Struthio camelus: one gene and its partners. The protein of the gene in region 4 binds, or shares a complex with, the protein of the main gene of each other region. Links are inferred from orthologs where the notes say so. Each region holds a gene or a part of one and is shown on either strand. Other genes may lie near its edges.

The links.
Region 1: WDR5 (region 4) and TADA3 share a complex: the UniProt entries of both Homo sapiens proteins name them as parts of the ADA2A-containing complex. The link is inferred for Struthio camelus from reciprocal best matches to the Homo sapiens genes WDR5 and TADA3.
Region 2: WDR5 (region 4) and DR1 share a complex: the UniProt entries of both Homo sapiens proteins name them as parts of the ADA2A-containing complex. The link is inferred for Struthio camelus from reciprocal best matches to the Homo sapiens genes WDR5 and DR1.
Region 3: WDR5 (region 4) and PHF20 share a complex: the UniProt entries of both Homo sapiens proteins name them as parts of the NSL complex. The link is inferred for Struthio camelus from reciprocal best matches to the Homo sapiens genes WDR5 and PHF20.

Annotation. Positions count from the first base shown.
Region 1 is NC_090955.1:9,933,952-9,941,740, forward strand, and holds the start of TADA3 (transcriptional adapter 3), read right to left. Parts: upstream 3,017-7,789; 5' UTR 2,934-3,016; coding exon 2,727-2,933; intron 2,550-2,726; coding exon 2,299-2,549; intron 2,120-2,298; coding exon 2,014-2,119; intron 611-2,013; coding exon 469-610; intron 167-468; coding exon 63-166; intron 1-62. Other genes in the region: ARPC4 (actin-related protein 2/3 complex subunit 4), read left to right, coding at 3,679-3,681, 4,153-4,271, 4,951-5,062, 5,145-5,240, 5,384-5,554, 6,111-6,116; tubulin monoglycylase TTLL3, read left to right, coding at 7,330-7,413, 7,489-7,633. UniProt on the Homo sapiens protein: Functions as a component of the PCAF complex. The PCAF complex is capable of efficiently acetylating histones in a nucleosomal context. The PCAF complex could be considered as the human version of the yeast SAGA complex.
Region 2 is NC_090949.1:18,518,210-18,525,501, forward strand, and holds the start of DR1 (protein Dr1), read right to left. Parts: upstream 3,003-7,292; 5' UTR 2,610-3,002; coding exon 2,390-2,609; intron 1-2,389. Other genes in the region: retinol dehydrogenase 8, read right to left, coding at 4,207-4,440, 5,049-5,232, 7,039-7,132. UniProt on the Homo sapiens protein: The association of the DR1/DRAP1 heterodimer with TBP results in a functional repression of both activated and basal transcription of class II genes.
Region 3 is NC_090959.1:1,298,324-1,305,787, forward strand, and holds the start of PHF20 (PHD finger protein 20), read right to left. Parts: upstream 3,009-7,464; 5' UTR 2,867-3,008; intron 395-2,866; exon of another isoform or gene 355-394; intron 1-354. UniProt on the Homo sapiens protein: Methyllysine-binding protein, component of the MOF histone acetyltransferase protein complex.
Region 4 is NC_090961.1:4,664,582-4,672,517, reverse strand, and holds the start of WDR5 (WD repeat-containing protein 5), read left to right. Parts: upstream 1-4,928; 5' UTR 4,929-5,147; intron 5,148-5,568; exon of another isoform or gene 5,569-5,955; intron 5,956-6,746; 5' UTR 6,747-6,857; coding exon 6,858-6,938; intron 6,939-7,830; coding exon 7,831-7,936.

The DNA of each region.
Region 1 (7,789 bases), on a different chromosome or scaffold from region 4:
AGTTTACCGAGCTGCAGTGACACTGCCCGACAGAGCCACAACGCAATCCCGAGCCCTCTCACCTCCACAAGGGCCTGCAGGAGACGCTGCGTCAAGGGCCCGAAGGGGCACCCGTCCTCAGGCTGCTCGTGCTGGGCCTCCGACTTCTTCAGCAGGGCATCAACATCTGGGAGGAAGCAGGGAAAACAGTGAGCAGCAGGGGAGAGGCCAACGCCTCAGCGGGACTCCGGTGCAAGGTGAACTGTTCTCTCCTCTGCAGGGACAGCTTTACTCCATTCTGTCTCTGCCACCTGAGCCTCCCTGCAGCTGCGCTCGAGTTGTGCCCTCCCCAGGGCAGCCACCGGAAAGGGAGGAACCCCCAGGGCAGCAGGGCCAGCGTCCCAGGGGCTTGGCTGTGCTCCGTGTAGGTGCCTTGCAGCCCCCTCCAGGCCGTTCACAGAGGGCAGACGCAGGCAGGGATGGAGGCACCTTTAGTGTCCAGCTCAGTCAGCGGTCCCAGGATGCCTTTCTTCTTGTCAGCAGCAGCTGCTGCCCGGGCTCCGTCCTTCTGCTCCTCCAGCAGGTCCTCCTGGGCCCAGCGCTGGGAGTAATGCTTCCCCAGAGGCGGGATCTGCAACCACAGGACAAGCGAGAGCAGCGGTCAGCACAGCGTCCCAGGGCCCTCGTCCGCGCCAGAGCTCAGGCACGAGGAGACGGGCCCTGCCGTGCCACGGAGCAGGCCCTACATCCAAGGACCCAGCCCCGCACACTTCACCTGGCTCGCAGCCAGGCCAGTACCCGGCTGCCCTGGGGCTCTACAACCCTATCCCCAGGGCTGCTCTCCCGCTTTCCCAAGGCCTGGGCCCTCCCCTCCTCTCCCACAGCTCCTGCGCAGAGCAGATGGCAGAATTCGGCACCTCCAGACGCGGCCCTGGAGGCGGCGCAGCTGCCCGTGAGCTCCAGGGCCGAGCTCCTCGGCAGCCGCCCTGCCCCTTTGGCTGGCCCGGCGCCGTTCGGCTTGGCGGTGCCACCGGCCGGCGCAGACCCCAGCGAGTCTTTAAGCTACACAAAGCGGCAACCACAAGCTGCACTCTCACAGGAAGAGCAACCACAACGTTATGAGTGAAATCTAAAACCGTGCTACGGGAAGAGCGTTTTCCTGATCGTGACTCAGCCATCCCCACTGTACAAGAGGCACGGGCCCGTCACACACGCAGCGCTGGCAGGACACGACCAGATCAGGGAGCTGGTACCGCGAGCACCAGCCCTGGTCACAGCGTCTTTGATCAGGCAGGGAGCCCTCACCCAGGGCTCTTCTGTAGCCGAGACCAGAGATGTCATCTCCACGTGTGGAAACTGTGGCTATCCAACAGCACCACACGTGTAACGCAGCAGAGGTGAGAGCAGCCAAGTCTCTCACCCCATCCTGGCTGCTACTTCTCATCTCCACAACTGCCCCCGTTCCCCAGTTCTTCACCCGCTTACAAGCGGGTGACAACAAAAACAACCGTCTGCTGCCGGTCCTCTTCCCTAGAGCGTGTAAAATCCTTCTGCTCGGCTCCCTAGAACAAACAGAGCCCTGCAGCTGGCACAAGGGAAAGGGGGCTTGGGGTCTCTCAGACAAGGGTCCAGAGAGGTCCCTTGTGCTCAAAGTTGGATGTAACAACAGGAACTCTGCATGTAAGAACACCACGAGTCTCACAGGCCGGGACCACGCTGCAGCAGGAACAGACAGACTACAGCTGGGCACTGCCTCCCAAGGACAGGAAAGCGCACAGCAACAACCTCAGCACTGCCCCAGAACGGGGGCAGCAAGTTGCTACCTCGTGGCCGCAGCCAAGACACTCTCTCACGGGAGCCAGAAGAGAAAAGTGTGCAGATAAATTCCTGCTTTTGCAGGAAAAAACTAGTATCATCCCCACAGGGCGAGCGTTCACTGTAAGGCACAAGACTGCATTGACAGGAGACTGGCCCAGGATTAGAAAACAGACAGGAAGAGAGGCTACAAGACTGGGTGGGCTTTAGATCTTTCACCTTGTAATGCTCAGCCTCGTCCTCAGGCGGCTTGAGCAGCTCTTCCAGGACTCTGACTTCCTCGTTGGTGAGGTCGGCGCAGTACGGCTCCACCGAGGCCCAGAACCTGCGAGGACGGAGCAAACGGACAGTAAGGGGGGGCTGCAGAGGCACAGCGTGGGCCGCGGCAAAGGCCGACTCACACCCCCCCTTCCCTCCAGGGCACCTCTTCCCTCGGGTCCAAGCCAGCCCTCTCGCCAGGAGCTGCAAGGAAGGAAACGGATGATCCAAATGTTCCCCATGCACCTGTTTGGAGCATCATTTTTGGGAATCCGGGGAACATCAATGGGATCATCTGGGAACTCGTATTCCTGGATCTTGGGCTGCAGGTTCTTGGATTTGGGCCGACCAGGGCCAGGCCCTGTCCCGTGACCCCCTTTGCCCTCCAGCTTCTGCTTCTTGGGCTTCCCATGTTTGACAGAAGTGCCCACATCATGCTCCTTGCTCAGCTTCAGGAACCGCCGGTCACCCTTCTTGTCTTGCCAGTCTGTCAGGATCTGGAAGAGAGCAACACCATGTCATGCCACACAGCGCAGCCTGGGGACGGGCCCGCTGCCCACACCAACGGCAGCCCAACAGGCCGCCGCAGCCCCTCGGCGTGAACGAACAGGCGAGGGAGCGGGCGGCGGGCCCCAGCGGCCCTCGCCGCGCGGGGCAGGCGGCGGCGCCCGCACCTGCGTCTCGGCCTCCAGGACGCGGAGGCGGCGGCTGGCAGAGGAGAGCAGCGTCTCCAGCTCCAGCTGCAGCGTGTCCAGCTCCTCGATGCCGATGCCGTCGTCCTCGGAGCGGGCCAGCACGGCCGTGTAGCGCGGGCACACCTTCACGTGGTCCACCGACTTGAAGTCGTGGAACTGCAGCGGGCAGTCCTTCAGCTCGCTCATGGCGGCGGGCACCGGGGGGAGCACACGGGTGTGTTCGGGGGAACGGGGCGGGGGGCAGAAGGATCGGGGCACTGAGGGGAAGCGGGGGGGGGGTGGAGAGAACCGGGGTGCTGAGGGGAACCGGCGGAGGGGGGGGGTTGGGACCGGGGCGCTGAGGGGGCGGGGCCGGGACGCAGGGAAGCCCCGGGGGGGGGGTCGGGGAGGTCCCGGGGGCGCCGGGGCCGCCCGGAAGGCGCCGGCGGGGCAGCGCGTGCCGCGGCCGGGCGGGGGGGCGGCGGCGCCGCGGGGCGGGGGCGGCCGGGAGGGCCGCGGGGGGCCGGGCCTAGGCCGCTCGTCCCTTCCGGCCTCCGTAGGCCAACGCCGCGCCCGCCTTGCCCCGCCCCACACTTCCCATTGGCTGAGCCGCGCCCAGCACCCGTCGCCTATTGGCCCGGCCCACGCTCTTTTTGCCTTCCCTAATATGGATGCAGTGACGGGACTATACCAACGCGGCGGGCGGGCGGGGGGGGATGAGCGGGCCGCCGCCATCGCGCACCGCCATCGCGAGCCGCCGTGCCCGCCGCCGTCACTTTCCTCTGCGCGGTGAGGCGAGGCCAGCTCGGTGCGGCCCGCGCCCTTCGGCGCGCGGCGGGAGCCTCCCCCGACCCCCCCTCCCGCTGCAGTGGGAGCTCCCGGCCATCCCGGAAGAGAGGAGCCGCCGGGGACAGCTACTTCCGCCTGCCGGGACCGGACCGGAGCCGCCACCATGGTAGGGGGGGGGGTGGCGGGGGCTGTGTGGCTGGGCCCGGGGGCGGATGGAGGGACCTGGCGGGGGGGTTGGCGGGGCCTAGGCCGGCAGCGGACCGGGGGGCGTTGATGGGGGTGGACTGGGGGCGGGCGGGGGGGCCGGGGGTGAGGGGTCCTGAGGGGGGCGGCTGGGGCGAGCTGGGGGTTTAGGGGGGCGGCAGGCCCGAGTCGGGGGTGGGGGGGTCCTGAGGGGGGCGGCTGGGGCGAGCTGGGGGTTTGGGGGGGGGGCGGAAGGCCCCAGCCTGGGGTGGGGTGGGGGGGCTGAGGAGGGCAGCTGGGGCGGGCTGGGGTTTTAGGCGGGTGGGGGGGGCCTGAGAAGGATGACTGGGGGTTTGGGGGGGCGGCAGTCCCGAGCTGGGGGTGGGGGGGCCCGAGCCGGGGTGGGGGGCAGTGGGCCGCACCGTTTGCCAGCTCTGACGCCGTGTCCCCGCAGACCGCCACGCTGCGCCCGTACCTGAACGCGGTGCGCGCCACGCTGCAGGCCGCCCTGTGCCTGGAGAACTTCTCCTCGCAGGTCGTGGAGCGCCACAACAAGCCCGAGGTGGAAGTCAGGTACGGCCAGGGGGCGGCTGTGCCTGCGGGGCCCCCGCTCCGCTCGGGCCCTCCGCCATCCTTTCGTTGGAGGCAGCTGCCCCCGGGCTGCTGCTCTGCCTCTGGCTGGTTTCCGGGGCCAGCGTGTCCCTGTGGAGCTGTTGTGCTGCGACGCTGCCAGCTCAGCTTTAGCAGCACGGGGAAAACGGTCTCTGCTCTGGTTTTAGTGCACTGAGTCCAGCACTGTTCCTGAGCCTAGCTGAGTCCTGGTTTTGGACACTGGGAACTGAGTCCTGGTTTTGGACACTGGGAACTGAGTCCTGGTTTTGGACACTGGGATGGGTTAATTCTTGTTGGGGTTTTTACACCAAAAAACAATCCCATCTAGTCACTGCTGCCTTTGCTTAGCATGTCTGGGCCTGACGCGAGGGGACTGTGCAGGCTGGAGAGGCCTCTGCACTCAGCAGCTGCCACCAGGCAGCGATGGGGCTGGTCAGCCCGGGAGCTGAGAAACTGCAAAGAGGAGGGAGGATCTGCCTTCATGATGCGTGTGCCTGGGAGGTGGAAAGCATCGTGTTGGAGCACAAAACAAACTCCCAAGTGTCCGTATTGGCTGTGATCCCTGCAGCTCCCTGCTTGCATGCCCTGTGTGGCCAGCAAGTGCTCGTTAATCAGTGCTGAGCTTCTCTTGCATCCACAGAAGCAGCAAAGAGCTGCTGTTGCAGCCAGTGATCATCAGCAGGAACGAGAAGGAAAAGGTCCTTATAGAGGGATCCATTAACTCTGTGCGAGTCAGCATTGCAGTGAAACAGGTGAGCTGGTGGGAGGGGAGGGAACAGGCTGGTGGCTTGTGTGTTGCTTGGAGGAAGCCTCACTTCTGCTTTCTCTCTGCAGGCTGATGAGATCGAGAAGATCTTGTGCCATAAATTCATGCGTTTTATGATGATGAGGGCTGAGAACTTCTTCATCCTGCGCAGGAAGCCTGTGGAGGTGAGGTGACCCGTGGAGCTGCAGAGCAGCATCCTGCTGTGCTTTTGGCACTGCTGGGGAGAGGGGGGTCTCCGGAGCCGAAAGAGGACGTGTGCTCACGGGGTTGGTGCGCTAACTGTTTCTGCCACTTCTCTCTTCTCCAGGGCTACGACATCAGCTTTTTGATCACAAACTTCCACACAGAGCAGATGTACAAGCACAAGCTCGTGGACTTTGTGATCCATTTCATGGAGGAGATCGACAAGGAGATCAGTGAGATGAAGCTGTCTGTCAACGCCAGGGCTCGCATCGTGGCAGAGGAGTTCCTCAAGAACGTGAGGCTCTAAAGCGGGAGGCGATGGTTCCCGTGTCTCTGGACGAGGGTGCAGCTCCGGCCTGCCGTGACCCTCGCGCGCGGAAGCCTGGCCCCGGGCTGTCCCCGTCTGTGGCGCAGGTGGCGGCAGCCCCCTGGGAAGGTGCCCTTTGGGGCAGGGGAATCACGTGGGGAGCGGGTGGGGGTACCTGGAAGAGCTACTGCCCGCTTTGCTCCCTCCTCAGTGAGAGAGGAGCGCAGCGTGACGCGCCAGCTTTGCAAGGCTGCCAGCGGGCTGGCGCTTTGCTAGGGCGCGAGCGGCAGCTGCGGGACGCGGACTGCTGAGACGAGCTGCGCGGTCCCCAGGGCGAGGGGAGGCAGGGAAGTGAGCGCAGAGCTCCACAATCCAAGCAGTGCCGAACGGCAGTTATCGTTCGTCTCCGTCCCTGCTGATCAGCCAGACGTGGCTTGAGGCCGCCTCGGCGCAGCGCGGATGGCACGCTGGGCGCGGGAGGGGAGGGCGAGCGCGCGAGGAGCCGGCAGTCAGCGGCCCTGTGCCTTCCCTTCTTGCCTTGCAGTTCTGAACCGTGGTGCTGAGCTCCCTGGCTTCTCCGGCGTCCCCGCGGGGCCGGCCGCAGCCCGGCCTCGCCGCCTGCGGAAGAGAGGAGAAGCCGCCAGATGCTACGGAGCCGTCCGCGGGGACGGGCGAGAGGACCGGGTGTCCTGAAGCGAACCGTGCTCGTGTCAGACCGTGCCGACTCCCTGCTCTTCGTTCCTCCTTTGGTTTTTTCCCTCCCCTCCCTTCCCCCTTTGTTTTTCTTTTTTTTAACAATTCCTCGTTTGCTGTAACTCGGCTGCTCGCTTCCCTCCTGCCTGGCGGTGGGGGACACCGTTTCCCCCCCCCTCCCCGCGCCGGTTCTTGAGCGGGGGGGCGGGGCCTGGCGGCGCAGGGGGCGGGGCCTGGCGGCGCTGCCATGGCAACGCCAAACAGCGGGGGCGGCCCCGACGGTGCGGGCCGGGCCGGGGCACAGCGGGGTCCGGGGGGGGCGGTATTTAGGGGGGCTGTGGGGGACGATGGGGGATGAAGGGGGGTCGGGGGGGGGCATGAGGAGGTCTGGGGGGGCTGTGTTGGTGCGGAGGGCTGGGGGGTAGGATGGTGTCGGTGGTGGGGGCACGAGAGGGGCTGGGGGGGCACGAGGGGGGCTGCAGGGGCCGCACGCGTTGCGCTGCAAGCTCCGGAGCGCGGGGCGGAGGAGCCGTGCGGGCGCCTGGGCCTGGGGCCTCTCCAGGCTGCCGGCACCGTCCTGCCACGGCTGCGCCAGCCCCGGGGCGGCAGCGAGCACCCTGTCTTCTCCCCCCGGGGCGTCCGACGGAGGCAGCGCCGCTAGCGGCTTCTCCGTGCCCCCAGGCCGCCGCGGGACGCGCCATGGCTCGGGGGCCGGCAGGCCGCCGGCGGCCGCGGGGCGAGCAGCCCTCGGGGTGAGGGGCGGCGGGCTGCGCCTGCAGGGCTGCAGCCCCACTGCGGGCACGCCGCCGGCCCCCTCGGAGCCCCCCGGTCCCGGCGGGCGAGGAGGGCAGCTCCAGGGTCGCGCCGCTGGGCCGAGGTGCCGCCATGCGGATGGAGCGGGCGGCGGAGAAAGGGGCTCTGCCTCCCCCCTTCCCGGAGGGGCTGCCCGCCCCCACGGCCGCCCGGCGGCGGCGGCAGGACGGTAGGAGCCTCTCCCTCCCCGGCGGCCCGGCCCGGCGGCGAGGTGGGGGCTGCCGAGCCGGGGCTCTTCTCCCCCAGGGCGCGCGGCGATGGAGGGTGGCGGCGGCGGCCGCCCCTCGCTCAACCCGGAGCGCCTCAAGCGGGTCCGGCTGCGCGTGGAGAGGGCCATCGAGGTGAGGGCTGCCGCCGGCCCCCCGGTCCCTGCGGCGCGGGGCAGCGCGCTCAGCTCCACCGCCGTCCCTCACCAGCAAAAGAAGATCTTCATGCTGCAAGGCCCCTACCCCGTGATCCGGAGCCTGCTGCGAGCCCGCGGCTGGGTGGAGAAGAAGTTCTCCCTCGCGTGCGAGGCAGGGCCCGGGCGCCAGCGCCTTCCCGGTGCCGCCGCCTGGGAAGGTGAGGGCGGCGTGGGCACGGCTTTCCCCAAGGACCCCAAAATTTTCTGTGCCCGGACTCTCCGTGCTCCCCGCGGCCACCACACGGCGCGTGAGCTTCCCGGGGCAGGGCCTGGGGGTGCTGCGAGCCCCGGGAAGGGGACCTAATGGTGGGATG
Region 2 (7,292 bases), on a different chromosome or scaffold from region 4:
TTCACAGCACTGTGCAGGGCAAGTGTTTGTGCTACCACACAGTGAGACGGGGCAGGGAATTCCTCCCCCTGAACACAGCCCAGCAAGGAAGAAGGCTCTAGTTCACCACATGGTCACACAATCGTTTTCGCTAGCACAGCGAAGGAGCAAGTGACTTATGCACCACTGTTGCCTACAGTGACAAACTGCAGTTTCACATTACCTCCACCACAGTCTAACTGCAGGGTGTCACCAAAAGGAGCAGATCTACCTTCTTTCCTCATCCTCCTTCCCAGTGAAACGCCTTCCCTGCCCGTTGCACTCAATTTAGTAACTGCATGTCTGCAAGAGTCAGATCAACAAGCTCACCTGATAGAAAACTATGCACCCTCCCAATTCCAACTGCCCCAGCTCACCCCGCGGCTGTGTGATTGCTAGATCCAGCTCCAGGGAGGGCACAGAACAAGGCTGCTTTTGACAGCAGCTGCTATTTAGACTGGACCAGGTGTGACGTGACATACCTTAGCCTCCTTTTACTTCTAAATAAGCTAGTTTAAGCAATTGAAAGGACTAAGATATCTAGATGACCATAAGACAACAACGTATTTGTGTATTACTGAATTTGTTAGCATCACTGTGGCAAAACCATGCCAAGAGGTATTCAAACTAGCAAACATCTAGGATGTATGAAGACCTAATTACAAATATGCTGAAATGCTATGGCTATATACACATAACCTCAGCAGTTCCAAAATGACTGATCTAAATCCTCACACTCCACAGAGAGATCATCTGCTAACTGACCACTGTCTGGAAGAAGTGAATAGCACCTGCACATCCTTAAAGATAAGGACAAGAGTAAATCCAAGAACAACTCCTTCCTCCTCTGGAGTATCATAAAAAGGATACACCTCCAAGCTTTATTTGGTAAAAATGTGACTAAAATGGACAGATCTAATTTGAAACTAACCTTTTTTTAACCCTGGAATCTGATGATAAAAAGACATAGAAGGAGGCATAGACAAAATATTTGCTTGGGGACCATCTCATGATGATATATGCACCGTCCTAAGATTTCAACTTCTACTTACTCTTACAGTTTTGGATATCCTATCAAAAAAGTGTCATTTGTTTTCAAAAATCCAGACTAACCCTAGGATAGCAACAAGCGAAAGTTTTCCAAGAACCACTACTAATGGGCAGAAAAATACTTTAAGTGAACTATTTATTGTCCTGAACCTTAAAGACCATCTCTAGTCTTATGTGAAGGACTGAGCTCAAATCTTTTGGTGATCACGTGAAGAAACTTTCTATGTATTAAGAAGCTTCATATCACAAGTATATTTCCACGCGTAAGCAAAAGTTTCACCCTTTACATCCTGAACTTCTGTAATTGAGCTGCTTTTCTGAACTTCCTGTTACCAATTTTAAAATGCATGCTTTTAACGTTCAACATTAAAGCTCATATATAGTATTTTCTTCTGTTGTTCAAAATCCAGTCAGCTACTGAAACGCTTCTGGTGAGCAAGCTGGCATAACACAAAGGAATCTGATTTTGGGCTTTTTTTTTTGTTTGGTTTAAGTAGAGAATCTATTAGCCTGTTACAAAAACAAAGCATACAAAAAATATATCGTTTTCCCATTAACCCGATACCTTTGCAGCCCTGGAAAGAGCTCTACTGCAAATACTACTCTTAACAGCTCTACCAGGCAGCACAATGAAGCACTTTGGCCACCTTCAATATCATTGCTACCCATTTGTTTGCAGCAGACATGGATATCGACAACCTTTGCTTAAGCAGCAAAGCGAATGAAACCAGATACGAATGAAACTGGACAGAAGAAGCCCACTCGAGATTTCAGCATAAGGTTAAAAAAAGTCTTCCTGTTTGTGGAAGAATTTAAAGAAAAACGAATGAGGGAACTCTCTTTTTATTCAGCAAGAGGAAGTGCAAGTCAACAGCAGAAAAAGATGCAGTAGCATATGTCACGTCCAAACGCTTCCTAGAGCGGGTAGGAACCCTCGATTCTTGAGCCATCCAGCTGCGCGGGCAGCCCCGTAGGTGTGTTTTGCTCCTTACGTGACCCAGGCAAAGAGACTGGACTGAAGACCGGGCTCCGCACCGCCCCCGCCACCTGCCCCGACCTAGCCCTTTTGGGAGTCTCCAGCCAGAAAGACGTCTCAGAAGCGCAGGCTCCCCAGGCGGTCTCCGGCTCTAAGGAGCCGGCCTCGCCTCGCGGCCGCCGGGAGGGCCGAGGCCGCGCTCCGGCCGCAGAGGCGCAGGGCGAGCGGCAGCCCCGCGCACAGCCCGCCCCGGCGGCGGCGGCGGCGGCGCCCGCGCTCTCCCTCCGCGCCCGCCCGCCCGCCGCGGCAGGACGACAGGCGGCTCCGGGGCCGGCGGGAACTTGCCTTGAATGACGTGCTCGGGGGAGATGGTTTTCTTCTCCGACTTGTTGCAGATCTCGTTGGCCTCGGAGGAGATGAGGTGGATGAACTCGGTGCAGCAGTTCACCACCAGCTCCCGGGCGTCGTTGGCCACGCGCACGTTGGGCAGCGTCTCCTTGATCATCTTGTTGATGGCCGCCCGCGGGATGGTGAGGTCGTCGTCGTTGCCCGAGGACGAGGCCATGCCGGCTGCCGCTCGCTCCCCGAGGGGCGCTGCGCTCCCGCGCTCACCGCTCCCCCTCGGCCGCCGCGCGGGGCTCCGGGGCGGGGCGGCGGCGGGGGGGGAGGGAGGGGGGTGCGAGGCGCGGCGCGGCCGCGGCGCGGACGGACGGGCGGGGTCGCGGGCCGGTGCGCGGAGCGGGCGAGCGCTGCCCCGGGCTCAGGGCTCCCTCGGCCGCGGCGCCTGCCACTGCCGCCTCCGCCACATCCTTCGGGGCGCCGGCGCCGCCGCCTTATGACCCGCGCGGAGGGCAGCGGAGCGGCCAAATCGGCGGGGCGGCGCGGCGCGGCGGGGCACGGCGGCTCCCCCGGCCGGCGGCGGCGGCGGCGGCGCGGGCTGAGCACGGGCTCGACCTGCCAGCCACGGCGCTTCCGCCGGAAGCCGGGTCAAGCTTCCGCCGCCGCCGCCTGGCCCCGCCCCGCCCCTCGCCGCGACCGCCGGAAGGGGGCGGGCGGCGGCGCCGCACGGCGGGAGGGGCCGGGCCGCCTGGGAGCGGGGGGCGGCGCTACGAGCGGGGCGTGAGCCCGGCGCGGGGGCGGCTGCTGCGTGGCGCGGCCCTGCCGGGGCCGCGGGCTGCCGCGCGTGGCCGGCGGCGCTCCGTCACGCCCGGCGGCAGCGCGGAGGGCCGCGCCGGGCCAGCCGCGGTTGAAACTAGGCTGCTGGCCTGGTCTGAGTCGAGTTGCGGCGCTAGGGGGAAGAGAAGGGAAAGGGAAGGACCTGCACCTCCTGCTTACGGTACTTCTTAGGGGGGCTTGGGGAAAGGACAGCCGCCGAGGACGGCTCCTGCTGCCGTAGCGAGTTTCGTGTAATTTTCCTTTTAAAAGGGGAAGCAAAGCCACTCCAGTGTTTTTAACGTCGAAATTGCCCAAGGAAGGGAACGGATTCACATTAGTTTTTAGTGATAAGGTTCTGTTTTTGCAGGAAATACAACAAGGTAAGAAGCAATTGAAAAAAAATGTTATTGTCCACTAGTTGTAGTCAGCAAGTAACCACTGCCTATAAAGCAAGTATTCATAACGTGATATATATATATATATATGTAAAAATAATATTAAAATACTCTAGTTGCACTTTTTAAAGGATTGACGAGTATTTTTCTTGTATATTCTGCAGTTAGTCCTGATTTCTGGAAGTGTGATGCTACTGTGATTGAGGAGTTACCATACTAGTAAGCAGAAGGATAAAATAATTTTATGATTTGAGAATCTATCCATAATTTACATGCAGTACACATCTCAGGTTATGTTATAGTCTAGTAAGTGAAGGGGATCAGATTAGTATTTAATACATAAATGTCAATTAATGTTCACATTTCCACAAAAACTGATCTCTGTAAAAGGCAAGAGCTAAACTGACCAAACCTGTAGAAGATTTTACTTTCAAGAGTCTGGAAACTGTAAAGTTCAAGATAAATAAACTGAGCTGAATATCTTAGCTAAGCTCAAACAAACATCTTGATTGCCTTTTTAACAATTACAGAGCAAATACATTTTAATAACAACATACTGTGTTATCAGTAGCTAGAACAAATTATTCAGATGTACACAGAATAAACTGGCATTTATTGTGAGGGTTTTCCCAGGTCAAAGCTCTTTCTACTTCTCCACCTTAGCAGTTTGATAAAGTTAAGACTCGCGCTGAAGACTTTGTCATGATGAAAAACCATTTTGTAGAATGTATCAATGGGTAGATCTCCATTTGGATCTGCATACTTCAGAGTTGTCATCGGAGTATACAAGGTGTTGGTCTGATGGCGAAAAGGCGGATTCTCTGCAAGAATTATCTTTACTGTATGCTGTCAAGAACGAGAAAGTAAATCGTTAAAGAACTTTGAAAATCATTTTTTTAAATTATTATTTTGATAAGTTAGGCAGAGGAAGAGTGGGAGAATAAATTTTAGAGTTGTGTAAAACCCTGTATGAAATTTAATTAGAATTTAATTAGAATTGTTTCTTAGAACAATTTTAAGCCAAAAGAAAAACTTCTTATTTCTTCTTAATCCTATTTCTGTTCATCTAGACTATGGTGATGACACCTTACACCTAAGTGTACTGAGTAGTCCTTCAAGATTATCCATGTAGGCCCTCAATAGATAGATACCTCCTTTTACAGTTCACTGGAAAAGGGTGAGAATGGTGCACTTTGCAACAAGACCCAGGAAGCTTCAGCTGACACCCAAGCTATCCCTTAGCAGCCAGCACCTGAAGTCATTGTTCTCTCCCCCAACTTTCCAGACTTTGCTTCCTGCAGAAAGCCTCAAACAACGGAAACTATATCCTTTATTGTACCTTACCGGTTTCACAACTGTCTTTTAAACTCTTTGGTAATTCTTAAATTACAACACACACATCCCCTCGCCCCCCCCCCCCCCAAAAAAAAAAAAGAGAATTGTTGATGAGTTACCTCTGCAACATCCTCAGCACTTTGCCCCAGGCTCTGGAAAATTTGTTTGTAATTTTTAAGGTAAATGTTAGTAAACATCTCAGCTGTTTCCTTGTCTGCAGCTGAAAGATCCATTTTCATTCCATCTTCAAAAACTTTTCTTTCAAACTCTGTGACCACTGGGCCGGGTTCAATCAGACTTAACCTGTTCAAAGAGCAAAGATACACTGGTTATAGAGTCTTCTGCATGGGAAATACATGCAGCTATCCTTCTTAAAGGATATTGAATAGTTACAGTACCCGTTAGCAAGCAATATTGAATGGTACACTCTGTAATGGTGATCCATACCACATTTCTGGCCTGCAGCTCTTACCCATCCGCGTGTAGATGTAGAAAAAAAGGATAATTTAATTTCTGGGAAGCGTTCTAACTTAGTTTGTGGCAGAACTGAGTGCAGTTGTTACCTGCTGTCTAACAACTGTGGAATCTGAGGATGATTAAGCCATGAGATCTCCTCAAAGATTAAGAAAAGCAATTTAAGGATGATTACAAAATTCATTACTTTCCGGACAAAATCCTACATAGATTTCTTTACCATAGCTTTCACATGATAATACTCAAAGTAAATGAAAAAAAAAAGGTGAGGGAGGGAGGGGGGGGGAAGGAAACTGCCCAAATAGATTTTCTTTGTCAAGCCTTCAGCGTTACATAATTGCAGAGCACTCTATAAAATTATATAAAATACAATATGGAGATTTTTGCTGTGGATGGACAGATTTTGGCTGCTGCCTTACCAGATATCTGGAAAATCAGATTTTGATCAGTAATGTATTATAGCAAATCACTGAAATACGTACACTTACTGACCAACTGTTTTCCATTTCTACTCTCAGGTAGTACTTACCTCCAGCCACCATGCTTATGAAACAACTCTTTTGGATAGGACTTTTTCGTAGAGATGACTTCTGCTCAGGCTCTTCTTTAGAACTACTAACCTTAGAAGCTACTGACCTTGACAGCAGAATTCCAGCTGCTGCTGGAATTACAGCCTTTTCGCTTGCGTAATATAATCATTTAAGCTGTCAGTCTCCTCACTGGGCCTTGGACTTTTTCCATTCTACTTGCTGGGCACCACGTTTTGTTTGTTTACCTCCTTTCCTCTGTATCTCAGAGTCTTGAAATCTTATAAATTCTATCATACCCTGTATATCATTACATCATGACTTTTCAGAGCTGGGTGCAAAACGCCCATTTGGATGCAGCTTTGTCTCTGGAATCACGTGAAAGCAGCTGTCTCTTCTCCCACAGCACAAGGGCTAAATGCTCCGGCATACACAGGTGCACTGGATGTTTAACAATTGTTGGACTTCACACATACAAAGTAGCAGCAAAGTTTCATCCTGTAATATGCCAATGTGAATGTATAGGTGACAAATCAGACACCTAAATCCCACAGGCCACCGACTGGACCATTCTCTTAAATACTGTCTTAAACAGTAAGAAAATACTACGCTGCAACACTAAATTGTTCCTTGCCTTCCTTTTACCTCCAGCCCCTAGGGGTTATCTCAGTCTGTGTGCCCTTCTGATGAATTTCCACTGCATTCTCTCTGTTATGATGCCCTTGAACTTTTTAATCTTTGGATTGTCTAAGAAATAAAGACTCTTATCCTTTCTAAAGGAAAGTATTACAGGTTGGTATTATAATTCTATTCAAATGGTATCGTATGCAAGAATCGGTATTTTTAAGAAGTACATTGACCTCTATTTTGTTCAAAGCTAAACAGCCTTACGCTATTCAAGATAACATGCTTCGTTAGCATCTAAGCCTTTTTAAGGGTTTGTTTCATTTGAAGGATGAGAACATTTCTGTGCCATTTGTGGTGTACAGTTGCCATGGGTTCCTCAGTTTGTTTCTCCTAGACAGTAGCAAGCTTAAAACATTTGTTTGCTAGCTCTGAATACATTTTAAAACTAAAATATAGTTCACATCTGTGGATCCATACTTACTGGAGCTTAAACTTGAGTGCCTGTATAGCTAAGCTTTCGCAGAATCCTTCCACAGCAAACTTAGACGCAGCATAAACATCATTAAATAAGATACCTGATGGCACAAACAAAACATCCAGAGAATGTGATTGTATGCGACATACTTATATTGTAGTTCTTTGTTATACTAATCTTTTAGTTTAAGAACCACTTGTATTTTCCCCAAATTTCTACAGTCTTGCTGGGAAAACATAAAAAAATCCTTGTTTATGTCA
Region 3 (7,464 bases), on a different chromosome or scaffold from region 4:
AGACTTCAGCTGGCTGTATTCAAGCAAGGTTGGCCAGAAGTACTCAAGCCCAGTAAAAAACAGACAAAGGCTTGTCAGCAAATTAGCAAGACTCAAAAAACAGTAAATATTACATACTAACATGCACTATTTTCTGCCACATGCATCTGCAGTCAGTGAGAACGGCCACACTATACATCTACACACAAGTGATCAGTTAAATTTGGTGCTTCCATCCACCAAAAAATGCTTTTTACAAGAACACTGCCTGAAAAGCCACCAGTCCCAAGAAGTTTTTTGGAAGATATAGGTCATGCTACTACTGGCATTTTGACAGTAAGCACCAGATGACAGCACTTAGTCACTATTTCTTACCTGAAGAAAGTCTTTCTACAGGAAGCACAAGATAACAACCCTGTGGACAAGCAAGTAAGAAAAGTATGAAAATGATAAAAAAAATAAAACAAAGTAAAAAAAGAAAAGTAGACATGTAGAACTGCTGACAGAGCCGCTACAAACGCTCCACAAAACTTTTCAATATAAATGCAACAGTAAATCCAAAATATCTACAACTATTTTTTTTTTTTAAACCCTGCACCCACACAACTAGGCAAGAATCAAGAACACAGTTTAAATACTGAGCAAGGGCAACCACTTGCAGGGCTAAACAATAAACCCTCCCCCATGCACATTCTTTAGCTCAGCTCACAATGCTGTAGCCCAAGTGCTCACATCTGCACAGGACAGTGCCATATGGGCAGAAATGAGAAGTGGCAATATGGCTTTTCTATAACAGTGTTAGCTTATGTCAAGGTCTGACAAATTACAACCACAGACACCATTTAGTTTCCAGAGATGCAGTCACAGATCAAAGATACAGTTACACAAAACTTAACATCCCCTACAAATAAATTAGAGATCACACTCTTTCCTGAACAAGGGGGAGAATTTAGGTCAATATCATTGCCTAGGTGATCCAGGATGTACAAGAGCAAAAGAGTGGCTTCAGAGAACTTACCCAATTAAAAGTAAGAATTAATTATGCGCTTCTTAAGTTTCAGCCAAGACAGCACTGTTATGAGCAATTAATATTCTAGCCTCATTCCCAACTTGACCTTAATTAATTACCCTGGATTGCAGGCAAACAGATTTTACTCTCAGAACAATGAAGTAAAATTTTATTTCCATTTAGGAAACACTAACAAAGTTATCAGCCAGAACATAAACTGAACTCTCCCACAAGCTAACTTAAATCAAATAACAAGTCCAAGTCTTCTTCAACTACAGAACTATTAAGACACACAAAAATTGAAAAGAGAATCACACTATGAACGATCCTTGTCGTAACTCTTCTCACTTCACTTTTCTGGAAATAGGTCCTGTGAAGCATTCCTTACTCAGATACAAACAAATAAACAAACCTAGATCAAAAGCATTTCTGTTACATACTTTCTTAGCTATGACCTTCTGCACAGATGCCTACAAAAAGTTGTTTCAAGTTATTTATTAGTATAGTATTTTAACAAATAGGGTTTCATCTACTACAGCATACATTATTAAACTACCTACACTAACAGAAGGGAAGAAATATATTTTACCCAGTTTGTACTCATCCACACTCAAATATCCCTTTTGATCTGTTTTCACATGTTTAAATTAGAAACACTAGCTTGGGATCAAAGAAGCATTTCTAGCACTGGGAAGACTTCAAATAGGTAAAGGAGATGTAAAGGTTTCCCAAAATTGCACTGACAGCCTGCTTCAATTAACCAAGCCCTACAACCATTATACTATGCATGTGCACCTCAAGCCAACTGGTCCTATAATCCAGTTGTGGGGCAATAAGCCAGTATAGTGGAATTCAGATCTCCTAGGGAAAAAAAAAAAAAAAAAAAAAAACACAGCACCTCCCCATTCTGTATGTTAAACAGGTATGACACGAGGTAACTTTTGGATCATTGCAAGGACCTGTCTTTACCTCCCTTTTTAAAAGGCTTTCTGAAAGGAGAAAAACCAGAAGGAAGGAGATGCATTCCACACTTCTGCTGACACAAAAAGGCCAGAAACCTCCAGCTGACGGTACCACCTACAGAAATCAACACCTTGCAGGGCAGGTACCTTGCCCCGTGCAAGGTTGTTCCCGCTTCGTCCCCCGGGGCCCGGCGAGAAGCGGCCGCCGGCGCCCCCCCCGGGCCGCGCCAGCACCCGCCGGGAGCGCCCCGCGCCGCTTCCTGACGCGCCAGCAGCGCCGGCCTCCGCCAACGGCCCCCGCCGCCGCGCCCGCGCCCACCGGCCGACCACAGCCCGCGGCGACACCGCGCAGCCACCCGCCGCGGCCCCGCCCGCGCCCGCGCCCCGCCGCGGGATACGGCCCACCGCGGCGCCGCCCAGACCCGGCCGCCGCCGCCGCCGCCGCGGCCCCGCGCCGGCCCCGGCGCCGCTGCAAGGTCACTCGGCCGCCCCCGCCGGCCGGGCCCCGCCGCGCCTGCGCTCGGCGCGCACATACTCACCTGCCCGCGCCGGGCCGCGCAGCTCCGCGGGCGCCGGGAGGGAGCGCGCTCGGCCCGCGCCCCAGGCCCCCCCGGCCTCAGCGCCCCAGGCCGCGCCGCGCGGGGGCGTGAGCGCCGCCCGCCCGGCCACCCCGGGGGCCGCGGGCGCCATCGGGCCCGGACTGCGGCGGGGCCGCCCGGGAGGAGCCGCCCGCTCCGGCGCGACGCGGCGCGGCCCTTTGTGCGCGGGGACGCGTGCCACCCGCTCCGCGCCCGGCCTCCCTCCCCTCGCCTCGCCTCGCCTCGCCTCGCCCCGCCGCAGGGCCCGCAGCGCGGGGCAGGCGGCGCTGGCCCAGCCGGCCCCGGCCCGGCCCGCCCGGGCGCTGCCGCTCTCTTACCGAGGGATCTGTACGGGAAAAAGGGGTTAGAAAGGAGCTAAACCGCCGCCCGGGCCCCGCTCCGCGCGCCGAGCCCAGCGCCACCGACCGCGCAGCGCCACAAAATGGCCGCCACGGCTGCGGCGCCGCCAGCCGCCGCGAGGGAGGGGGCGGGGCCTGGCGGCAGGGGCGGGGCCGGATGCGGCGGGGCGGGGCCGCGGGGTGGGCGGGGCGGGAGGCGCCGCGGCCCCGTCGAATTTAGCTTGGCGCTGGGAATGGCGTCGTGGTCCCCCGAGGCCTGCCCGAGGAGAGGCCCTCCTCTGCTGGGCAGCTCTTCACGGGCGGGCCCGAAACCCTGCGCTGGCTCAGCAGCTCTCCATTGCAAGCTCCTCTTGTGTGCAAGAGGGCCACAAGCTCGGTCCCGGCAGCTAAAGTAGGGGAAAATGGCAGGAAAAAGCCATACTGCTGCATGAGAACGTGCCGGGCCCCGTTGCCAGGGGTCCGCAGGCGGGAACACACGGCATTTCGGGGGGTACAGTGAGAGCAGTGAAGTCCTTTGCTGACCGATCCCAGACGCTGGCTTGCAAGGAATAATTGGAGCCGCTCGTGTGCACAACTGGCAGCGCCACAAGCGCTTCCTTTCAGAGAAAGTGTAAAGGAAAAGACTTTTGTATTTTTCAGAGCTCCATAAAACACAGTGAAATATGAGCAAAAATGAAAGCAGACTGGCAGTCTGGGTCCACCATGAACTTCGCTGCTCAGATGGCTGGTTCAGCACCTCTCTGAGGTCTGTTTGTCTGCCTAAGCATAAAAACAGAAAAGGATTTAGGGAGGATGTAATCTGAGCAATGTAATGGCTCATAGAAGGGCGATCTTCGAATCAGGCTACTCAGGGCCTTATCCAGTTGAGTTTTGAGTATTTCCAAGGCAGCAGTTCCCCTGCCTCTTTGGGCCCCTGGCCCAGAGGGCCACTGCTCTCACGGGGAAAAGTTTTTCCTTTATGTCCAACTAGAATTTTCTTTTTTGCAGCTTGTGCCCCTTGCCTCTTGTCATGGCACACCTCCGAGGAGGGGCTGGTTGCGTCCTCTCTACAGCCCCCTGGAGGCAGAGAGACCGCTCTCAGATCCCCACGGAGCCTTCTCCAGGCTGAACACCTGCAGCTCCTCTGGCCTTGCCTCACGCCCACCAGCCTCTGAGCATCTTAGCAGCCATCCGCTGGACTTGGGCCTGTTTGGTGACGTCTCTTGCTCTGGAGGGCCGAAACCAGACACAGATAAGGTCTCACCAGTGCCAAGTACTGGGGAATTACCACTTCCCTCAACCTGCTGGCTACACTTTTGTACAGCTAGGGAGCTCTGCATTCTTCCATAGATACAGCATTTTACAGAGCCAATGAAAGAAAAAAAAAAAAAGAAGATGAAGAATTTGAGTTTTATGCTAGGTTAAAGCCAAAACCAAACTGATACAGAAGAGCAAAAATCTTTGCAGGCTGAAGTTCTCAACTGCAAATATTCCGGTATTTGTCACTGTGAGAGAATAACCTCTTCTGCTTCAGGTGATTTTCTCGAGATAATCCATCATTTTTGTGCTCAGCGGCCAAGCACAGACAAGTGCGTAATTGTTACCTATCGGCTGTTGGGAAAAAAAGAGTAACTGCTGTGGCCACGGTATGTGCAGCGAAGGGGATTAGCATGCAGTGAAATCTGTGGGTACTGACCGGCTCTGGAGGAGGGCAGGGGAGAGATTAGCCAGCCGCGACGACTGTTTCCTCCCGACAGCACACAGCAGCCTGCGGGGCACGTCTGGGTCCAAGCCCCCCTTATTAAAAGGGCTCATCATGGGGCAGAAACAATTCTGAAGTGATTAGTTAAATTAGTAAAGTTTTAGTCTATCATTAAATGTTTATAATTACTTCTATTACAAATTATTATTTCAGGGAGAAAAGCTGGAAAAAAATAATTTCCATCAGAAAGGAGTTGCTTTTCTTTTTTTTTTAATTTTCAGTTTACCAGAAAAGTCAAGTACTGGCATGCCCTGTCTCCCTGCCATGTATCGCCAGAGTGTGGGTTGGGTGCAAAGGAGTAAGTGGGCAAAGCACAATCCTGACTCTAAATGCCTTTCTGCTTTGTCTTCCTCCTCCCAAATACCCACAGAAAGTGCTGATGCTGCAAAAAATCTGGCTGCTCCGATGACATCAGCCTCACCCCAGCGCCCTGAGCAGCGCAGGATCCAGAGCGCACAAAGGTGGGTTTAAGGCAGAGTCGCCCCCCCCCCCCGCACTGTTTAGCTCCCTGCCCGCTTACGCTTCTCTAATAAAGCAGCGCTTGTGAGCTGTGCACTGGGAATTTGTGGAAGCAGAATGACTTACTATAAATACCATCACAGAAAAAAAAAATGTGGCAGAAAATTAAGCTTATGAGTTTGATTTTTTTTTTTTTTTAGCCTGGAAATCTTGTGTGTGGTTTAAACACTAAAGGTGTCTGGAGGCAGGAGAAAACAATTCAGAATGAATTAAAATAGGAAGCAGCTAAAAAGAAAAATCACTCCAAAGTTTTGAGGGAAATAGATTTTCTTTTTTTTTTTTTTTTTAACTCTCACTAAAATGTCAGTGTACTGCTTCTGTATTTGTTTTTTAAGAGCACTGTATTTCATTAAGGAGTTTTCATCATTTTAAAAAACACTGAATTTTGGAACATCTGTTATGAAAAGGTATATATCAGAAACCACTTCCTTCTCTGTAGAAGCGGGTCTTTCTAATCTCACTGTTTTTGAGCTGTGGGAAGTAATCCCTTGCTCTTTCGCCCTTTCACCCCCCCCCCTCCCCGAGAGCCGACTGCTCTTGGCAAGCCATGGAAATGGCTATGCCAGTTTGTGCTCTTTTTTTCCTCGTGGCTTGTCCAAGACTTAAGATTTAATATCTGATGTCGGCATTCATGGTTAACGCTGCCGGAAGCTCTCAAACGTTGGCCGTACCTGCCTGTTTGAGCTGACCACAGAGCGGCAGCCCTTCCCAGCAAACAACGCTTCCCTTGCACCGGCCGCTGCAGCGAAGGGCAGGGCTGCGTCTGCCGCGGGGCTGCCGCTGCCCAGCACAAACGGAGCAAGAGCTTCCGCTGCAGCACACCGGACTGAAGTACTCGTTTGCATCGCAGACAGATCCCAGGCCCTCTCCAAGAGAACCCGCTCAGCTAATCTGGGTCAGTTGGGATGCAATGTTTCCCCACACATCAAAGAAATCACTAAATATACCTGCAGGCAAATTAAGCTTTGTGGATCAATAATCCTTTGCTTGTCTTCTCTGGAAAGAGATCCTGTCCTCACTCGCACAATCTTTATTTTCATTTGACATCAGAGGTGGAATAAACCCACCCTGACTTACTGTCAGGGAGCAGCAGGATCAGGCTGCTCCGCCGGGACAGGCGAGCCGGAGCCAAGGTGATGGCAGGGCAGTGCCAGCCCTGGCATGGTGTAGCCTCTGTGCAGGAGGGTCCTGCAAGAGCAGGTCCAGGGTCAGCCAAGAGGCCAGATCATCAGTCAAATCAGGTCCAGGGTCAAGCCAGGAAGTTAGTCCTCAGTACAGGGGCAGAGGCCAGCTCAGTGAAGTCCATGGCCAGGCACATGCATGGCTAACACAGCTCAGGTAGAGGCCAGGGGTGAGGGCATGTGCTTAGACATGGCTCCCGAAGAAGAGGAAGATCCCAGAGAAGTTTCTTCCAGCTCTTTCCCTTCATGGCCAGCCATACAGAGCTGGCCTTGAGCACAGGCAGCTAAACTGGTGGAAAGTACACTCCAGGCCCTGCCACTTCCCTCGCCTGCAGGAGAGCTGAGCTTGTAGCCAGCCTCCCCATCTCTCAACAGAGAAAATCAGGCATGTGGCAAGGGCAAAACATCCAACCAGCCTCTTGCCTGTGCTTCAGCATGAGAGGAACTGTGCTGAGAAAATGCCTCTTGCATTGACTATAAAAGGAGGCTAAACCAGCTCCAGCAGAGCTGTCTGCAAGGCCAGCCTCTGCATCAGTTGGTGTCATCCCATGCAAAAGACACTCCCTTCCTCCTTGATGAGCTACCCAAGGGACCGGCACGGCAGCTGCGAGAGGGTGGCTCTGTGCCTGTAGAGGTTTATCTTTGCCTGCACAAGGGCCTCTGCCAGTGAGAGGCAGGGAGCCCCCAGCTGCCTTCTGCGCAGCCCACGCGGGGTCACTGCTGTCTGTATTATAGCAGCTCATCGGCAGCAGGGAAGCTGCCGCTCCCAGGGGTGCGGGAACCCTGAGCTCATCTACTGCCAGGCTGGGCTCCCCTCTCCCAGAGGGGACCTGGGACTGTCCCACAAGTGGATTTTGCAGAAAGTCTGCCCAGGGTGGGGATTAGATGAGGACCAGCACAGGTCAGTGGAGTTTTTACAGACTCAGCTGGGCATTGTCCCTGCCCTCTTACACCAAGGTGCATGCACCAGTCCAGTGTCCCGCTCTTCTCGCTGTGCCTCACCCCTGATCATACCTGCTTTCATTAGGGTGTTGCTGGAGGTCCCCTCAGGTCTGGCTGAACTCTGGGCCTGGTCCCAAGGTGCACATAGAGGTGGGGGAGGAGGGACTTGCCAAGTTAGTGCCCCTGCCTCACGG
Region 4 (7,936 bases):
GTCCGTGATGAGCAGACCCCTGTTGCCTCCCATTTTAACTCTTTTTCACGCCTTCTTCCTTCAGGACAAGCACAAGTTATGGTCCGTGATCTGGACTCCGGCCAATGGAAAGGACCTTTTTCTCTGATAACGTGGCGGAGGGGTTATGCTTGTGTTTCTACAGGTACCCAGCCCAGTTGTTAATGCTACTTTAGCTGTTTATCGCAATACAACTTTATGGTGTAATGTAACATTGGGAATGTATTTGCCCCATTCTACAATGATTCTAGAAAAACGATGAAAACGCATTAGACCATCTACACATCCTTTTCAAAAAGATTGTAGAGATGATCTTACCTTCTGGAACCCAGGAGAGATTATTACGGCATCCATTTTTTACTCCTGGGGTCGCTGCTGCAAATGCTTTAGCAACCTTAAATAAATTAGGGTGTTGGCTTGCCAAGCAGACTCATAATACTGCAACAGCACTATCAGGGCTGCTTACCAATGTTGATTCTATAAGACATGCTACATTGCAGAATCGTGCAGCTATAGATTTTTTATTATTGGCGCATGGCCACGGGGGTGAGATTTTGGAAGGAATGTGTTTTATGAATTTGTCAGATCACTCAGAATCTATTCACGACAGTATAGTGAGATTGAAGGAGAGCATAGCGAAGTTGAGGTTAGATGACAATGATTGGCTGGGACGAGTATTCTCAGGATGGGGGATCACAGGGTGGTTATTAACTATTGTGAAGAGTGGCTTGATTGTATTGTTGATAATCTTAGTCTGTTTGTGCCTGTTTCCCTGTCTTCTACAATGCGTGCAACGAATGATAGATCGCGCCTTCAATCAACAAGCGTATGCAGTTTTGTTAAAACAAAAAGGGGGAGATGTCGGGGGCGATGTGTACCAGAAGACGATTAGGAGCAGCAACAAAGCATTCCCTCAGTGCCAGAAGCCCTGGGAAAGTGTGCATAATATGAAGACTTGTGTCAGTGCCAAGACGGGCAGGTGCCCGTGAGCTATCAGAATGCAGATATTGAAACTAGGACAAGGACGTGAGAGAGGGAAGATAATCTTAATGCAGAACGTGGCTTGTAGTAACGTAGCAAAGCAACTTTAGTCAGTAAACACAGCCGTATTCTTACACAATAAGGGTCCGGTATATAAGAGAGGACGAAATATGAAATAAATAATCTTGCTTCACCATACGCAAGGTTTGTGCCTTCAGTCCCTGCACTGAAGTATTGCAGGAGAGAAGAAAAGGACCTGCCAAAGGAATCTGAGAAGTGAAGAGAAACCACTCACTCGATATGGCTATGTAGCCTTTGCCACAGTAAATACGTTTATTTGGTTAGATGTGTCTAAATGGTTTTGTTATACGTTCAGTGTGGTGCGAATATGCAGCACCTGCTGTTAACAGTGGTTTGCACAGGTAAGCAAGCTTTTGAATAGCGTGTGCTACTGAGCTGGCAGTTTAAACTGACAGATACCAGAACATGCTAGGTTTCAGCTGGCCAAATCCCTAATGGATTCCTGTGTATTTTCTTCCTTTTCATCCCGCCCTCTTACAAAGACTGGAGAGAATGGTAAAGAGGTGCTCTAATCTAATAATAACAGTTCTAAACTTTTCCATTTCTCAATGACAATGAGTAATAATAATACTTAGATTTCGTTAAAACTGTCTCAGGACAGGGATATGAGCTAGTTGTATCGAACTGTCCATTCATCTGCATTGCAACCATTTGCACCAGCCAGGCACAAAGTTCCTGATTCACAGAAGTGCTGAGAACCTGCTGCTCCAGTTGAAGTGGCTGGGAGAGGCAGGCTGTCATCACGTCTGGCAGTCAGATCACGTGTGATTCCGTCTAAGGCTCTCAAATCAGCAGCCTTTTTGCATTAAGTTGGCTGAGATTGGGGAGACTCTGTACAGAATGATACATTACAGCACTGTGCTGGACCCTAATCCTGCATGAAGTCCTAGCTTCTCCTACACAAACGCAGACCGCTTCATAACAGGAATTTTACTGAGATGGAGCTCTATACATGCCATGTTCAATGATCTTATTTCAAAAGAAGTTCTTCAGCTTCCATAAGTTCCTGTGCCCAGGCTGAGGGTTTGTACGTATCCATCCCTGGGCAAAATGGATCAAATCCTACCTACTTTCCACTGAGGTAAGGTTTCCTAGTTTTCAATGAACAAATGTTGGCACTGATGCAAGCAAGGTTCATACTGCAGTGGGGGAGGTAGAAATATCAGCCTGGAAAACATTCAGTGTTTGTTTTTAAATCCCAGGAGAAACATATGAACGTGATGTATCTGGGATTTAGAACAAACAGAGCAGCATATTAGCAACCACACAGAAACAGCTACATGTCAGGGATCAGTTGCTCTTTAAAAGTATAAAAGATGCAGCAGGTCTCTTTCACGATTTCTTGTTCCTACTGTTTCTTCAACAGTGTGTAACACACAGTCTGTCCGTCCTGCGCTTTCCGTTTGCTGTACGAGTGGCCCAAGCAAATAAAAACCCTAACTGAGACTGCTAATTGTGCCAAAGCCTAAATATGGGCTAATGCAGCTTGTAAGCTTAGTGCCTTATTACTTACCGTCACAAACGTAAGCATGTGCTTGTTTGTAGCAGACAAGTCTAAAAAGCAGATCCAGCATGTGCTGAAGTTAGTGGGAGCTTTTCCACAAATATTAACATCATTTGGATGAGATCTGCAGGACTGGATTGATTCTGCTCTCAGTGGAACCTGTGACAAAATTTATTACATTAGCAACAGCAGGACCCTTGGCCCCAGCTTAGTTCCTGACACCCTTAAAGCCACCTGAAGGGATCTCAGCGGCACTGACAGCAGTCACTCTCGTATGCTCTGAGCCATTTACGGAAAGACTTTTCTTTCCCTTTCACCATTATGGGAAGCTGCTCCCTTCCAAAAACTCTCAGACAGGTGTCTTTTCCAGTGTACTTGGCAGGTCACCACGTTCAGGCTATTTTGAACCAAATGGAATGAAAGATTTTGCAAGAGAGCAGCCTGCCAAGCCCCACTCTTTTACAGAGAGGGAATTTGGACAGATAGCACATCCTGCTGATCACAGCTGCGGCAGCACAGCCTGATCAGAGCAAGAAGGATCCTCATGGATGACTCATAACCAACAAGTTAAGCTTCATCCCAAGACAATGGGCTGTCCTTTGGATCTCTGAGTATTCACTCATGTTATTCAGTCCTGATGAAATGCCCTTGCTCGCTGCATTTCCTTTCTCTGCATGAGCCATGCTGTCAAAAATCCAGTCCAGCATGTGTGCAAATACTTAGCCAAACTCTGCTTAAAATCATTCAAATGTGTTAATAACAAAAACAGGATTCAGAAGCCAAGGGGTTGTTTAGAATAATTGTTACTATGTTACTGGGGTTATCATTTTTGAGTTCCAGAGATATATTATTCACTATAGATAAGGATATAGATATAAATATATATATGCACATATGTATAAAATAATAGGCAAGGGCTTCCAAAGCAGGCAGTGGCACAATACAGACAAACTTTAACCAGCATGAAAGAAACAAAACACTCTATTCCTATCACAAGAAAGCTGAACAAATAAATAGCATTATCATGCTGATTTGTGTACTCTCCTGTGCCTTCTCCCTCACCCCCCCCCCCCATTTTTTTTTTTCAAACAACAAAACTTCGGGCCAAATCCATCTGGAAGAAGGACTGACTGAAACTCAGCTTGATTCATTTCCTAATACGGTTCTGGGGACAGCACAGCTCTTACATCTCTGTGTTCTCCTCCCTGCGTTTGGATGGCAGGGTTAATTCTCCAGACTTCCGCTTGGGTTTCCAGGCTGAAGGAGATGGGCCTTGGCTTCGCTGCACCGCAGCTTTTTTCAGCTTTTTCCTTTCTCAACTGCCACTAGAATTTTTGGAGCCCAAAGATCTTCCTGTGTTAAAGGGCCAGTAAGTGACACGTGTCTCTTGCTTTTTTTTCCTCTTAACTAAAAGCAGACCGTACTGCGTCCTGTGCAGCCTAGAGCTGTGGTTCAGGAGGAAAAAAAAAAAAAAAGAAAACATTACTCTCCAGAAAAGTGGTTAAACAGGCGCTTAACTTTAAGTAGGTTGTTTGGCCGTAATGAATCAGTTATATGCTTTTCTGAGTCTGGGCCCTTGTACACCGAGGACTGGCTTAGATGTACTCATACCCAGTCAAATATTGTGGTATTGAATGGCTCACACATCACCTTTACGCATTACATGCGTTAGTGTCGAGCCTGATGGATCAGCATCCAGCCTTTTCATTACCAGTTCTTATCCGCAGCACTGCAGCATATTTTCAGCAGTGCTGTTTTGCATATTATGACCCCCAAAACATCCAGCCCTGCTGTGGCCGGGCTGAATTACTTTTTTTTTTTTTTTTTTTGTCATTCAGCACAGGCCGAGGCAGAGGGCTCCGTCCCCGACCGCCAGCCCCTAGAGCGCTCCCTGTTACGAGGGGAAGCCGCCCAGGGCCGAGCGCGAGGTGATGGGGGGGGGTACGTCCCGTTAACCTGGGCCAGCACGGGGTGGATTATCAGCACCCCTCCCGCCACCCCTTCCCTCTCCGCTGAGCCCAGCAGCACCGCCGGTTCCCGGCCGACACCGCCAGGCAGGCCCCTGCGCGCCTCGCAGGCCTCGGCCGCCCTGCGCCCTCGAGGCCGGCTGCCCGCCTGGCCGCCCCGGAGCTGCGGCTGCAGCTTGCAGGCCTCTTCCTCGGCGGAGGGAGGGCAGGGCACATCCTTCCTTCTCTCTAGCCGCTGCTGTTCAACCCTAGAGAGAAAAAGGCGAGTGGAAGGCGCGGCAAGGGGGAAAGGGAGAAGTGAAGCAGGCGCCTGCGCCTTTAAGGCGTTGCCAGCTCCCCCCCCCCCCCCCAAACCTCCCCGCTTGCTGCTTTTTGACTCTTCGGCCTTGCCGTAGCGCTCCCGGGAGAGAGCGGCATTGTGCAGCCTTTGGCCCGGACCGCGCATGCGCCATCCCACATTCCCCCGCCTGGCGGCTCCGGAGCTGCCGCCGCCGCCGCGTCCCCCCCTCCCCTCCCGCGGCCGCGCTGCCCCCCCCCGCCCCGCCGCGGAGGAGGCGGCGGCGCCGCCATCTCCCCCGCCCCTTCCCCCTCCCCCGGTAAGTCACTGAGAGGCAGCAGCAGCAGCGGCGGCGGGGCGGGATGGGATGGGATGGGGTGGGGTGGAATGGGGGGGCCGGAGCGGAGCTCCCCCCTCCCCCCCCTCCACACACACACCCTCCCTCCCACCCTCACGCGCGCGCGGCGCTGCCGCCGCCGCCGCCTCCCCTCAGGCAGCGCGCGGCGCCCCCTCCCCCCCCTTCCCTTTCCCGCCCGTCGCGGGGGGCGGCGGGAGCGGCGCGGGGCGGGCGCGGCGGCGGCGGCTCTGCGACCTCCTTCCCCCCCCCGCACCGCGGAGCTGGCGGCGCCGCCGCCAAAGTTTGGGCTCCCGGCGGAGAACTTCCCCCGGCGCGGGCGGGCAGGGGCGTCTGCCGGCGGCCGTGGCGCGGGCGGGCGGGCGGGTGTCGGTGCCGCGTGCGCGGCGGCGGCTGGCGGGGGCCGGGCTGCGCGGGGCGATGCCGTCGCGGCCCCCCGGCAGCCGGCGGCGCCTTGGCAGGGCGGGTGCGCGCTCGCGGGAGCTGCCGGATTAGTTCCAGATGAAAAAGATCTGACCTGGGTTAGGAAAGTTTTCATTTCTTATTCTTGCCGTCTGTCCGCGCCGCGGAGAGGGCTTGTAAGAGCCGGCAGGCAACCGGTAGCGCTTAGCTCTGTGCCCTCCCGAGGACGAGGTGCTTATCATGCCGCTGGTCGCTGGAAGAGCAAATGCTGTTGCGCCCAAATCTGCTGCCACCAGCAGAAAAGAGCGGTAGCAGTAGCGGGATGTTGCAAACGTACTTTAAAGACAAATCCTTGGCGTGTGAGCTGGAGGTGAGTCTGTTACTAAGCTGAAATCTGGCGGAGCTGCAGCGGAGATCGTTCCCTCTGCAGTATCAGCGCCGATTACAGAATACCAGCACAGCGCTTTACCAGGTTTTGTTACAGAAAGCAAGTCTGTTGCGACTAATACAAGGCTGGCTCTTAGTCAGGTGAAAGACTCAGGAAAAGAAGAGCGTGATTTGGTGCTCTGACCGTTTAGGGGAGAAACATGAGACTGGAATACTTGAATTACAAGATGAAAGGAACCTAGCAAGATTTTAAGCTTTGGAGATGCCTGTTACTTTCTTCTTTGTATTATGATTTTGTGTTCTGTGTCTTGATACATCTGAAAAAAGGCCTCGGACGGATCTTTCCACCTTCTGCGCAAACCATTGTCTATGGTTTTAAACTATGCTATTAAAGTACTTCTCATAGGCATATTGGGGAGTATTATAGGAAAAACCTTGCCACACCTAAAAGCTATTCTGCTTTATTTCTAATTAACAGGGCAGTGTAAAACAGCTTTCCAAGAAGTGATTAAAGGCCACAGATTGGGTTCTTGATCTTGCACTTTAATAGATCTGACCGCATGAAATAAATGTTGCTATGTTGGTGATGTGATGTTTCCTTAAGTCTGCTTGCAGGATTCAGTTCTCTGGATAAAAGATCCATAGTGCGTGTTTTTCTTGTTTTGTTTTGTCTTTTAACACTGGTTTCTGGGGACCTGCAGTTATGCTCATCTCATTCTTCTAGTTGCTGACAATCTTTCTTTGACAGCTAATGATACTTTGTTTTTCTTCCAGGTTTTCATTTCCAGTGTGATTTCTCCTCTCTGTGGCAAAGGCTGTCTTTTGAAGCAGCACATTCATTCTCCCCTTCAAGCACCATAAGTCTCATTTGCCAGCTTCAGAACCATGGCAACAGAAGAAAAGAAGCCAGATGCAGAATCCACCAAAACACAATCTACTCCTTCCTCCTCAACCAATCAGAGCAAGGTGTGTGTGGGCCTCTGAACAATATCTTTGTAAATACGCATGGAAACTGTCTACATATTCAAAAGGCAAACTAGAATTAGAGATTTTTAAGAAATTGAATTCTGATAGGAATTAAGAACTTGGGATTTCTGCTACTGCTGTTGAACTGAAAATGTGCTAACGATTTTATGGGAAAGCAGATGAAGTACAACCTCTTTTGTGCTAGGGTATCTTTGTTTCTTCAAGTTCATGCAGAGGAAATACTTTTTGTCCCTTTCAGCATTAGAAATCTAAGGTGTTGGAAGGCCTAGACGTTACTGGAGAATAGGTGAATTTACCGTCTTAGTTGCAGGGTGGAGAAGCAGTCATTGTTTGAGGCCTGTGGATGTTGAAGGGAGTTGTCACTGTTTAACCGCAAAAACTGTGCAAATGGTGAGAAGGGAGAATGTTTGGGGTTTTGGGAATGTGGAAGAATTGGTTTGTGATATGATTCACAAAAAGTTAAAGGACTACAAATATTTAATAGCACTAAGTGTTTTATTTTAATCTGTCAGGCGGTCTGTGATTGGACTGTTGGATTACTCTCGCCTATTTATTATTGGTTTGGATGTAATTCATACCAAAGATGAGTTTGTTGTTGTGCATGTGCAGTGAGGCACTGCTTGCTCCAGGCATCAAGATTTTTGTCTGAATTTGGAGAGGGGAAAATGTAAACAGTAGAATCTATTATGGTGACTATTCATGCAGTCTGATACTGTGTAGTGACCTGGTCTAATACAGAACTTGTCATTGAGATATTCAGTTTGGTATTTATACGACTCATTCATGTATGTATGTGTGTGTCTGTGTGTGTGTGTGTATATATATATATATATATATATATATATATATATATTTTTTTTTTTTTTTACAGCCTGCACCAGTAAAACCAAACTATGCTCTAAAGTTCACGTTAGCAGGACATACAAAGGCAGTCTCGTCAGTAAAATTTAGTCCTAATGGAGAGTGGCTAGCCAGCT